3 linked regions of the Tamandua tetradactyla genome follow. The protein of the gene in region 2 interacts with the protein of the main gene of each other region in a pairwise test. Links are inferred from orthologs where the notes say so. Each region holds a gene or a part of one and is shown on either strand. Other genes may lie near its edges.

Region 1 (3,742 bases), on a different chromosome or scaffold from region 2:
TTTGCCACCGGAAATCCGCTGTTATTACGCTCATTGCGGGTAGCGTCCGGGCCGCAATTGTGAACGCTTGCACTGTGGCCCGTCCACGGTCCGCGCGCCTGTGTCCCCCCCGTATGCCCCCTGCCCCGCCCTTTCCCGTACCGCGCTCACCACGTTGGTGTCCCGCTCCAGCGCTGGCTCCCAGCCCATGTCCCGGGGTCCGCAGCAGTCCAGGCAGACGAGCGCGCGGCAACGGTAGTGGCAGGTGAACTTGCAGTCTGCGGAAAGGCCGGGCCGTAAGGCAGAGGGAGTCCCACTTTCACCTCGGAGAAGCGCCCAGGGGGACCCAAAGGAAGCCCCCGGGTGGAGGGCCCATTCCCCGGGCTCTGCTTGTTTGGTCTTCTCTCGGGTCTCATTTTCCACCCGCTGCCACACAGACTCTAATGTCAGCCTCTGGGTGTTTAGAAACTGGCAGGAAGGCCACTGGCGGTTAGGGACCTAGGTCTGCTCAATAGATGGCTCTCAAGCACCTAGCAATGAGATTACCCCTTCCATATTGTTTCCCCCTCGCTTACTTAAGGGAAAAACAGAAATCCCTAACCGCCTCTGGTCTTTTGTCTTCTGTCTCTACACCCCTCACTCCAAAACTTATCTCTATGCATCTGACTATTCACCTTCCCTCTTTTACCCACTCCAGGCTTGCCCCTCCCTCCACGGAATTGATTGCCCTGGCCAGGGTCCTTGGCAACTTGCGAGATTGAGTTTTCCACCCTTACCTCCTCGGTATTATTTAACTCTTGCTTTTCCTAGGTGCCCATACTCTCTTGGTTTTTCTCTCACCTCCACGACTCCTGTTCAGCTCTTTTATTGGTTCTGCCCCAACTTGCTGATCTCGTAATGGGGAGTGCCTGGGCTCAGTCCTGATGGCTGCCCTCCTCTGTCTACTCTCACTACCCCTATCTTATCCACTTGCTTTGCTTTCCAGATCTAAGGCTCCATCAGGCACTGACCTCTCTTCTCAGAGCAAATCTTGTGTATCAGCATATTCACTTGAATGTTTAAAAGACACTTCAGACCGAATATGGCCAAAGTTTTACTCACTTTTCCTCTACCTCACCTCTTCGATTCACTGGAGTTCCACATCTCAGTGGAAATTGCCACCATTCCTCCAGCAGTTTAAGGCAAACCCCCAACTCAATTCTTGATTTTTCCCTTGCCTCTATCTCAAAAACACACTCAAAACGATCCCATTTCTTGTTTCCATGGTCACTTTATTTCTCCTTGGGAATGGTGCAGCATTCATATTTTGTATTCAATCATAAGTTCTGTGCTTCTGTCACCTGAATACTGGGCAGTCTCCTGTATTGGACGGAGGATCTCCGTGCACACACAGGCCTGACACTATATCCCTAGGTTTCTGAATGGACTGGAGCAGTGATTCTCAACCCAGGCTGTACATTAGAATGATTTGGGGAGTTTCAAAAAGATTACTGATGCATAGGGCCTATCTCCAGCAACCCATCTGAGGTGGGATCCAGGCATAGGGAGTGGGAGGGCTGTAAAAGCGCCCAGGTGATTTAAATGGGAGAGCAACCTCTGCTTGCCGGTGATGGTGATTCACAGGATGACAGAGGCCTGGCTGGTGTGTCCCTGAATTCCATGTTGCAGCACCTGGTTCACTGGCCCCATGTGGGTGTTTGCTGAACAGACTTAAAATCCCTGCTTGCAGGGGGCCTGTCCAGCGTTCTCAACTTTCCCAGGTCCCCTCCCTTCATAACTTCCCTTCACCACAGGGGTATTCTTTAGTGGGATCTGGGTAAGTGAATCTTTGGGAAGGGGCAGGCCTGGGATATGGGTTCACAGCCTTTCTCAAGAAGGGCCAAGGCACTTTAAAGGGAAGATAAGAAACTTGAAATTAGCAGCTTGGAATTCAAAGGCAACTGCCCCTGACCAACCGCCCCAGATGCAGGTGGCGCATAGCAAGATGAACCATCTGTCAGCACTCTCTCCCGCGATGGGAGCCCAAGATAACGGCCCAGGTCCGTGGGGCCATTCCTGCCACCCCCCTCCACCTCGACTTAGTCCGGAGCGATGGCGCTCCCCCTCAGCGGCGGTTCTGTTCTCGTCTGCGCAATGGGCTGCTACTCACGGGCACACTGCAGGCCCTTGCGCACGACGCCCCAGATGAAGTCGCCGCAGAGATCGCACCAGGTGTGCGTGGCGGGCCCAGCCGGTTGGAAACGGTGGCCACGGCCAGGAGCCAGGTGCCGTTCGGGGTAGCGTGCAGTGCCTGGCGCAATGCGAAGCGCATTGGTGCGCGCCAGGCGGGTACGGCCGGGGCCGGGGCTGCGAGCGGGTGTCAACTCCTGTAGCTCGATGAGCTCGGGCTCGGCCGACATGGTCCGCCTGGCCTGGCCAGGGTTGCGCGCTCAAGCAAGCGCCGGGCGGGCGGGTCCCGACTGCGACACCGCCCCCTTAGATTCAGGCAGGGCGGAGCTCGGTGAGAGCCAAGGAGAGCTGTGCAACGGAAACTTGGGTGCGGGGTTCCGTCAGCCCGCAGGCGGAGCCGAGAGGAGTTGGGGTGGGGAGACTGGCAAAATCCCCGCATTCCCTTCCTTGCCTCCCTCATCCACATGAACACACCCCCCCTCCACCCCCTCTGCCCCCGACTGCGACAGAGCACACTGAGACAAGCGTGTTTCTAGAGGCCTGCTTTACTCTGCTAGAGGAAGAGGGTCTCCACATCCTGCCCAGTCTTCCTGCCCCAGCTTTCTGAGGCAGTGTCCCAGGGTGGGGCAGGAAGTGGGGAGCGCTTTGCTTTGGCAGGGGATGGTCAGCTGCTCTACCCCACCCAATGGCGCTACCCACACAGGAGGCCAGGCTGAAGTTTCTAGGTTGAGGAGCGCACTCTGGGTGGGCTCCTCTGGCAGAGTTGGTCGGCCCTCCACGGCCACAACTTTCATTTGACTCTATCACCCTGGGCTGCCAGGACACAGGCCTTTCCATGCTTCTCCCAGTGTTTGACTTGACATTCCCTGCAGACAGATGGACCAGTGAGGAGGGCAGTGTTTGGAGGTGGGGCTCAGGGTTCCAGGATCCTAGGGTACCCTCACCTGCAGCAATACCATTCGTTCTGGCATCTGGAGCAACGCTTAGAGGCCTCTGCGCTGCAGTAGGCACAGCGGGGCCGCTCTGGGGCCACTGCTTCCAGCACATCCAGTCGGTAGGTCTCAGCCCACCTGGGGAAGGGTCAGGAAGACATGACTAGGCCTGGCAGATGGGCACATAGGGAGCCCCCCATTCCCAGGCCATGCCTCCTACTTCTTTACCACCCCTTCTATCAGCTCAGCAGGGCTTACCTCCGTGCCTGTAGCCGCAGGTCCTGCTCTGAGGCACTGAACATATGTCGCAACTGGTGCTTGGCAATGGCTTGCCACTTGCCTCTGTTCTCTCGCTCCAGCTGCTCCCAAATTTCTGGGATCTGGGGAGTGGAGTGGGTTGGGGGGAGAAGTAGAGAGTAGCAGGGAGGAGCAAAGGCAAAGAGGACAGTGGTCCCAAGTAATATCCCAGTGCCTACCTGTTCCAACACCAGGTCCTTCTTGGGGGCCTCGGGTTCAGCCAGGGCCAGGTGGGTCAGAAAATGCTGCAGATCTGCCAGGTTGGGCAGCTGGTCAAGCAGTGTGTCAGTGAGGAAGGCCTGAAGCTGCAAGGGTGTTGGTGGAGGCTGTGTTAGGCACATACTGGCCAAAGGGCCAAGGAGCAG
Region 2 (3,742 bases):
AGCTGGACACGGGGGCTCCTGCCCTGTCAGAGAGGGAGTATGGGGTGTGCCTGGGAGCCTGGGCCCCAGTCAGTCCTCCAGGCCCAGGATGGGCACCAGGCAACGCAGAGGCGTGAGGGTGAAACACTTGGATAAGCTGGGGCCAAACACTCCCAGGTCTGCTGGAATTCCTCCGAGACGGTGAGCAGTAACCCCTGCGGGACCTGGATGGGATGGGGCGGGCATGGGGACTCCCCACTGGCCTCAGCTTTGCCTGTCAAATGGGTCGGGTTGCAGAGAGCTCGCAACGTGCCAACTGTGAAGGGCTGCGCACACAAGGCAGCTCCGTGTCTCACTGGTCTGGAGGAGACGCCCGCTGGCACAGGGGTGTGACCAGGGGAGGGCTCTCCCAGCAGGCTCAGCTCCAGCTGCCAGCACAGGAATGGGAGGTGGGGGCAGAGCTGGGAGAGTCCTCTGGAGACCCCTAACACCTCTGAGCCTCAGTCTCCTCTGTAAAATGGGGCTGGGTAGAGGGAATAAAGGAATAAAGGAGACAATGCACAGCACATAGGAAAAAGCTCTGAAGGCAGGAGCCTTATCATTTTTGGTGAGGGGGTGTTATGGCTCTCCTTCCCTGGACCCCAAGCAGGTTGGCAGGGTCCCTGGGCCTCAGGGAGATACTGGCCCTCCTCCCCACCCACCTCAAGCTGCAGATCAGCCAATACCCCAAGCTGCAAATTCATCCTGGCCCTCTCTACAGAGTGGCCCAGAGAGAGTAATGCCAGCCCTGAGGTTACACAGCACACGGGTCAAACAGTGCCCCCCCAGCAGTGCTGCCCCTCACACCCGTCACCCCTCTCCCTTCACAAGTCTGTAAGTGTAACTTTTATTTCAGCATGCAAGAATTAAAAAGGCCTCCAAATACGAACACCTCCACCAGAGAGGTGGCGGACCTGCCCTGGGGCGCACAGCACACCCATGACCCACCACACCAGTACCTAGCTCCAGAGTAGAGAAGCACCTTATTTACGACCCAGCGGTCTGTAAATACGAGGCCTGAGCGGCCGGCGCCCCGCCCCCGCCCCCGCGAGTGCCTCCCGGGTTACTCACCGCGGTTGGCCAATGGTCAGGGCTCCGGTGTCCGCTTACGTAAGACGCCAGAGGTACCGCCCTGTCCGTCCGCCACCGGCCCACACCCTCTGGGACCCCACGCGGCCTCCCGCCCGACCATGCCGTGAGGCCTGCCAGGCCGAAGCTCTTCCACAAGGACACCACCACACTCCAAGCCGCGGGCTCTGCCGAGCAGCTCATGGCAGCACCCATGTTTTTAAAAGCATTCCGTACCCGTGAGCTCACGTCACACTCGTGATGCGCACGCAAGAAGGTATGATTACGCCCGCTTTACAGATGGGGAAACTGAGGCCCAAGGGTGGTAAAGGGGCTTGCTGGGCCGAGGCGGCCCCTCCCCACAGCCGCGCCCGGTGTGGAGCCCTCTCATACCACCCCGCCTGCCCAGACTCTGACATGCCCAAAACATCCTTTCCTGTAACTGCGGGAAAAAAAATCCCCTTTCGCCTTCCAGGTTCCGTGCCCCCCCACCTCCCCATGACAAGTCCTGCCGCCGCCACAGCCGCCGGCTCACAGACCACTTCCAAAAACGCCCGGCGGGGACCCAGGACCGGGGGCGGCCGGACAGGCCGCAGTACGGACCCAAGCCCTGGACAGGGGTTGGAGGCCCTGGGCCCGCGAAGGACCGGGAAGAGAGTGCGCGGCCGGCGGGGGGACACCACCGTCTCCCGAAGGGACAGGCAAGCTTCCCGGCCGCGGCTGCAGAACGGAGCGCGGGGTCTGCGGAGACGCCCCACGCAGGGCAGCCGCAGATGCGGCAAAGTGGGCTCCAAACTGGTGGGCTGGGGCGAGCTGAGGCGCCCAGACCCCAGGACGGGGGAGTCCAGCGAGTTCCCCAGCAAGGGCGCAGACGAGGTAGGGGTCCGAGTTCGACTAGCCCGGAGACAGTCTGGGGCCCGCGGCGGGAGTCGACGGGGGTCACTGGGGGTCAGTGGGCCACCCGGCTCCTCCTGGCCCAGCCTGGGGGGCAGCGTGAGGCTCCCTCCCCACGCGCGCGGGGGCATCGAAACGAGGTGTCGGCCCGGGAGGCCTCGGCCAGGCAGCGGCCCCGCGGCCTCCGGGGGTCCGAGTGAGGTCGCAGGCTGGGCGGGGGCGGCCGGGGCGAGGCAGAGCAGGTCAGCCAGAGGGCAGGCCCGACCCCGGAAGGGCTCGCCGGCAGGCCCAGCCGGGCTCAAGCCGGGCGCTCGTACCTTTGGACGCGGGCACGCCGGCGGGGGTGCTGGAGGCGGGTGGCTCCATGGCGCGGGGAGCCGGCGGCGGGACTAAGCCAGGGGGCGGCGGGCTCGAGCGGCGCGGCGCGGGCTCATGGCTGCGGGCGAGCGGCCGGGCGCGGCGGCAGCGAGGCGGGGCGCGGGCAGCGCGGGAGTCAGACTGGGCAGCGCAGCGCGCCGGGCCCGACGGCGCCCGCCCCCGGCCCCGCCCCGCGCGCCGATTGGCCCGCCTGCCCCCGGGGCCCGCCCAGAAGCAGGACCCGCCCACTGCCCGTCAAGTCCGCCTCCCGCCGGGAAGCCCGGGCCCCTTCAGGCCCCGCCCCCGCCCGCATGCATCAGACCCCGCCCCGGGTCGGGGCCTCAGCGCGCGCCCCCATTTGCCCGCAACCCCAGTGGAGGCCGTACGTGGGCTGGCCCGGGGTGTGTGACCTGGAAAAGCTCTGAGAGGCCCCGGAGCATCGGGCGAGCCCCACAGGGACAGACGAAAGTGCCCCTGCGATGAACTCAGGTCAGACCCCGACTTCCCCCCTTCCCGGGGCGGGGGGCAAGACTGGGGACGACCCTGCGCCTCGGCCGCTGGCCAGGCCGGTCCACGTGCGCTGGCCGTGCTGTAGATGCCCGCGGGGTGGGTGCGGAGGCCCTGCCCGAGGTCTCACCCTGGCGTTCCCTGGACATTGGGTCAGCGCCGCTAAGACAGAGCATTCCCTCTGCGGCATTCCCCGAGCCTCTGTGCTCTGCAGCCCCTGGCCAGGCTGGAGTCGGGATCAATGACTCAGATGGAGAGTGAGGGGGGCTGGCTGTGGGCCCATCCGGGGCCTCCTTGGGGAGGGAGCAGATGCCATGACCCGTCGGTGGCACAGGGGCTGACCTCTGTAAAACAAGATGATCCCAGCGCCTTGCCCACACAGCTGTGAAAGAACCAGAGCAGATAAGGGGTGAGTGAGCCTTATAATTATCACCATTTGCTTCCTGCATCTCTTGCTCACCCTTTCCAGGCAGTGGGATGGAAAGTCATGAGATCTGGACTCAGACGGCACAGCTTCAAATCCCAAAGACCTTGGATGAGTCCCTGAGCAGGTCCGTGCCTCTGTTTACTTGTCTGTGCCATGGGGCGTTGAGGCCTTCCTGAAAGCATCCCATGCTTGGAAGTGCCTGCCTCAGAGGCCTGCTTGGCACGCACGCAGGCATGCACACACACACACATGCCCAGGAAATGTGAATTCATAACGACCTCCTACAGGAAGACACCCCGGCTTTACCACTCCTGGGTGTCCAAGTGGCCCAAAGCCCTCTGTCCCAAATGGACCAAGTGAGCCTGGCCTAGTCGTTTCACCTCATGGTCTTCTGTCCATCCCCTGGAAAATGGGCACCTGTGCGGCTCTCTTCCCACCAGGCATCAAACCTGGTCCGTTGGAGTTTCTTGG
Region 3 (3,742 bases), on a different chromosome or scaffold from region 2:
GCAGCAGCGGGGCAGAAACTGGAGCCATCTCTGCTGACGCCAGAGCCCAAGGCCTCCCCACATCAGGTTGTGTAAGGTGGGCTGGGGCGGGTTTCCTGCACTCCTTGGGTCCTGCTGAGACTTTGGCATGAGTTCACAGAAAAGGGCAGTTCAGGGAGTCTTTCCTTGGAGGGAAGCAGAGAACGGAGACACATCCTCTGCTCACTCTCAGCACACATCATTTATTATTATTTTTTTTTCTGAATAAATGAATTTACTGCTGAAGAGCCCCAAAGAAAAAAAAACTGAAATGTATTTTCAGGCCAAGCTTCAGCATTTGGCAGTTATTCTGATCTGACCCCACTCCTTATGGCATGGCTGTCAGTTCCATGGCCAGCTTTGGATACTTCCAGTGGCAGCACATTCCACATTAAGCAGCAAGGTCTTCCTTATTCTGAACCAGAGTTGTCGACCTCCACCCCCACCCCCCACAATTCCAACCCCCCCATAATTCCATCTGAGGCAACACAGGGTTTTGTGAAGAATGCAGACTTGAGTGTCAAAAAGACAAGTTAAATACTGACTCCAATTTGCAAATCTCTGTCCCTTTCTGGGTCACTTTCCTTGCAGGACTGCTTTGAGGACAAAAAAAAAAAAAGATACTCTGTGTAGGGGGGCTGGTCCTGCAGAATGTCAAAATGTTCTCCTCCTTGCAGCCCCCCATGCCAGGTCTGCCCTCACTCAGCCAGTCACCTCCAGTTCTAAGGTTGTTCCTATCACGTGTGATGAACCCAATCCTTCCATCCAGGTTACTCTCCAACAAATGCCACTGAGGCAGATGTGTCCCCCACAAGGAACACTGGCCCAGATGGGGCAGGCGGATAGGCTGATCACCGTCCAGTGGCTGGGAACAACCCACTGGCTGTTACCGGGGGCCGGGTAACAACCAGGAACACCAGTGACTCTGGATCTACCTTGCTCAGAAAGCAAGTAGATCCATCACATCCTTTCTCCTCAGCTACTGTCCCTTGTCCAGCTCCCCATCTGAGGCAGTGGGCACTCAGCCTGTCCTGGTGAGAGCCATCATCTTCCCCCTTCAAACTGGTCCTTCCTTGGGTTGCCCTGACTATAAACTGCCCGATCATTAGAGTCAGCAGCTGGGGAATCACCCCCTTCAGCCCCTGTCCTCTGCCCTCCCTCCACCCTATTTCCAGAGGATCCCACATTCTGTCTGTTCTGCCTCTTCCATTCCTCTCCATTCCTTCCCACTCCCCTGCCCTGAACTGGGGCAGGTCACGGTCATCTCTCACGTGGGTCTTTACAAATATCTCCTCCCTGGGCTCTTCAGCCTCCACCCTCCACCAGGGCCTTAAAAAAATGCACGTCTGACATGTCACCCTCCAGCTTACAAGTCCTTAGTGGCTACCTGCGTCCTGCAGGATCAAGTCCAAACTGTTTATCCAGCACCCCAGACCTCCCTCCTCAACCTCACCAATCTCTCCGGTCTCACTGACTGCCCATTCAGGAGCACGGACATCACTGGCTTTCAAAACTGAACACATCTGCTCTCTTGCCCATACCTCTTCTCCACTTGGCTAGGGCTCAGATGCCACCGTCGCTGGGCTCCCTCCCCTCCTCTTTTCAGTGGCCCCCTGCTCCTCCCTTCACTCTGCACGGTGCGCAGCACTCTGCATCCAGAGCTCAGGCTGGGAGTGGGGTGGAGAGGCCCGGGGGTTTTATTTCCACCCTCAGTATCCCGACCTCAGAACCTCAGGGCATTACGGGTCAACCAAGGCCGCTGATAGCCCAATCCAGAGAGGGCAGCCGGCCCTTGGTTCCATCTGGCAGCCACGGGTTCTCCTCCTGCCTTCCGCACTCACGCGCTGGGGAACCCTAGGCAAGTGACTGCATCACTCGGAGCCTCAGCTTCTTCATCTCTAAGCCGGGCATGCAGACGGCCCAGTGGCCCTGGGACGAGTGTCCGTCTTCCCCCTCCCCCCCACTGAGCCACCTTAGGGGGAGGGATGGGCCGGCGCGTCCCGAGGGGGGAGTTGCGGAGAGGGTCGGCCCGCCCGCCCCCGCCCGGGTAGGCAATGAGTAACCAGCTCCGCGGCCAGGGTGCTCTTTGGACGGAGCGGGACAAAAGGCCCTGTGTGCGCCGCGGGTTACTGATTTACCTCCCCCTCCGCCACCCCGCCAAGCGGACGCCCAGGTCCGCCGCGCTGGGAGCCGGCAGCCCCCGGAGCCCCGCAGCCTCTCGCCCCCTGGCGGCGGGGAGCACAGCCGGGGCCCGCACCGGGTCCCAGCTCACCTCAAGCCTTCGTGGCTGCGCTCCCGTCACAGGGTCTCCGCTCACCTGGCGGCTCCACGGCCCCGCCCCCGCGCCCGGCCGGGCCCGCAGACAGCCCGGGCGCGTGTCCGCCCGGGGCGGGAGAGCCAGAAATGCACCCACCAGCACCGCGGGGCCAGGGGCGGCCCAGGGCCCCGCCCACTCCGGCCCCGCCCGCCCCCCGGCCCCTCCCCGCCTGGACCGGCTCTATCCTGACAGCGGCGTGAAAGCTGGCAGCTTAGCGCCCCACCCACAACAGGCCCCGCCCACCAAGGGCCCCGCCCCGCCTGGACCAGCGCTATCCTGACAGCGGCTTGGCCCAGGACAACCCAGAGCCCCGCCCACCTCGAGCCCCGCCCCGCCCACTGGGACTGGCGGAACCCGGGACAGGCTCGGCTGAATTCCGGGGTCCTTCCTGCTGCCAGCCCCCTCAGACTCCGCCTCTTTCGCAGCACTTCCAAGTTCTAGACCACTTACTGGTGGGTAGACCCCGTGCTCTTCACCCCACTAGGAACGAGATCCAGCCCGCCCGCCGTAAGCAGACCTTGGCCCAACCTGGCCCCTTTGTTCTTAGGCGCGTTCGCCCGCCCCCTCAAATCCATTCTCTGCGCAACTTCCAGAATATTTGAAACACAGATCAGACTACATCCACCAACCCATTTCCATTTTCCAGTAGCTGTGAGTAGCAACTGGAAAATTTAAAAATATAAACATTTTTGGCAAAACCTGGTCCTTGCTCATTTGCACGTGCCGTTCCCTCTTTCTGGAACGCTCTGTCCCTTCTTGGGCTGATTACATTTATTTTTAGGTCTTAGCTCAAAAAGCACTTCCTCAGAGAAGCCCTCTGGACTTGGCAGGGTCTCTCTGGCTTCTTTTCGGTTTGTGAGACTGGACCCGGTGGGCTCAAATCTCAGCTACCGCGCGCGCTTGGTGGGTTACTTTGTGTCTTCATCTTCTCGTCAGTAAGATGGGTATAATGATTATACCATCCTCAGGAGGTTTTTGCAAACAGTAGACGTATCAGGGTGAATAATCCTTCAGAACGCTCCCTGGCATATGGCATTTGCTTTGTAATGTTAGCTGTGATTATTTTGGACACGTTATTTCTCATCACTCTCGCCAGAATGGTCAACTGTGTAAATAGTTGCGTAATGCTAAGCTCCTAAAAGGCAGGAACTGAGCCTGCATTCCTTGCCATTTTATCTCAAGTACGTGGCCCGGTAGGTGCCTCACGAGAAGCTCCGCCCCCACCCAGCTCAGGTGGACCTCACCTGTAAGTTCTTCTCTCTTGACCATCTAGACTATGGTCTAGACCTATGACCCCTGCTCACTCCTCACCTGAAGTCCAAGCTCTGGGCTCCTCTGAAGGATCCTTGAGGAAAAAGGAAACCCTTCAGCTTGAGTCTCAGGCCCACCTCAGATTTTCCCTAGGGC

The links. The genes of interacting proteins can lie anywhere in the genome.
Region 1: the proteins of MAP2K3 (region 2) and RASSF1 come close enough for resonance energy transfer, tested with the Homo sapiens proteins (2 studies listed by BioGRID). The link is inferred for Tamandua tetradactyla from reciprocal best matches to the Homo sapiens genes MAP2K3 and RASSF1.
Region 3: the proteins of MAP2K3 (region 2) and FGFR4 come close enough for resonance energy transfer, tested with the Homo sapiens proteins (2 studies listed by BioGRID). The link is inferred for Tamandua tetradactyla from reciprocal best matches to the Homo sapiens genes MAP2K3 and FGFR4.

Annotation. Positions count from the first base shown.
Region 1 is NC_135341.1:35,763,534-35,767,275, reverse strand, and holds the start of RASSF1 (ras association domain-containing protein 1), read right to left. Parts: upstream 2,446-3,742; 5' UTR 2,379-2,445; coding exon 2,129-2,378; intron 258-2,128; coding exon 142-257; intron 64-141; exon of another isoform or gene 1-63. Other genes in the region: ZMYND10 (zinc finger MYND domain-containing protein 10), read right to left, coding at 2,939-3,014, 3,093-3,218, 3,339-3,460, 3,557-3,682. UniProt on the Homo sapiens protein: Potential tumor suppressor. Required for death receptor-dependent apoptosis. Mediates activation of STK3/MST2 and STK4/MST1 during Fas-induced apoptosis by preventing their dephosphorylation.
Region 2 is NC_135332.1:158,055-161,796, forward strand, and holds the start of MAP2K3 (dual specificity mitogen-activated protein kinase kinase 3), read right to left. Parts: upstream 2,430-3,742; 5' UTR 2,347-2,429; coding exon 2,298-2,346; intron 1,364-2,297; coding exon of another isoform or gene 1,348-1,363; exon of another isoform or gene 1,155-1,347; intron 1-1,154. UniProt on the Homo sapiens protein: Dual specificity kinase. Is activated by cytokines and environmental stress in vivo. Catalyzes the concomitant phosphorylation of a threonine and a tyrosine residue in the MAP kinase p38.
Region 3 is NC_135346.1:58,739,742-58,743,483, reverse strand, and holds the start of FGFR4 (fibroblast growth factor receptor 4), read right to left. Parts: upstream 2,453-3,742; 5' UTR 2,291-2,452; intron 1-2,290. UniProt on the Homo sapiens protein: Tyrosine-protein kinase that acts as a cell-surface receptor for fibroblast growth factors and plays a role in the regulation of cell proliferation, differentiation and migration, and in regulation of lipid metabolism, bile acid biosynthesis, glucose uptake, vitamin D metabolism and phosphate homeostasis.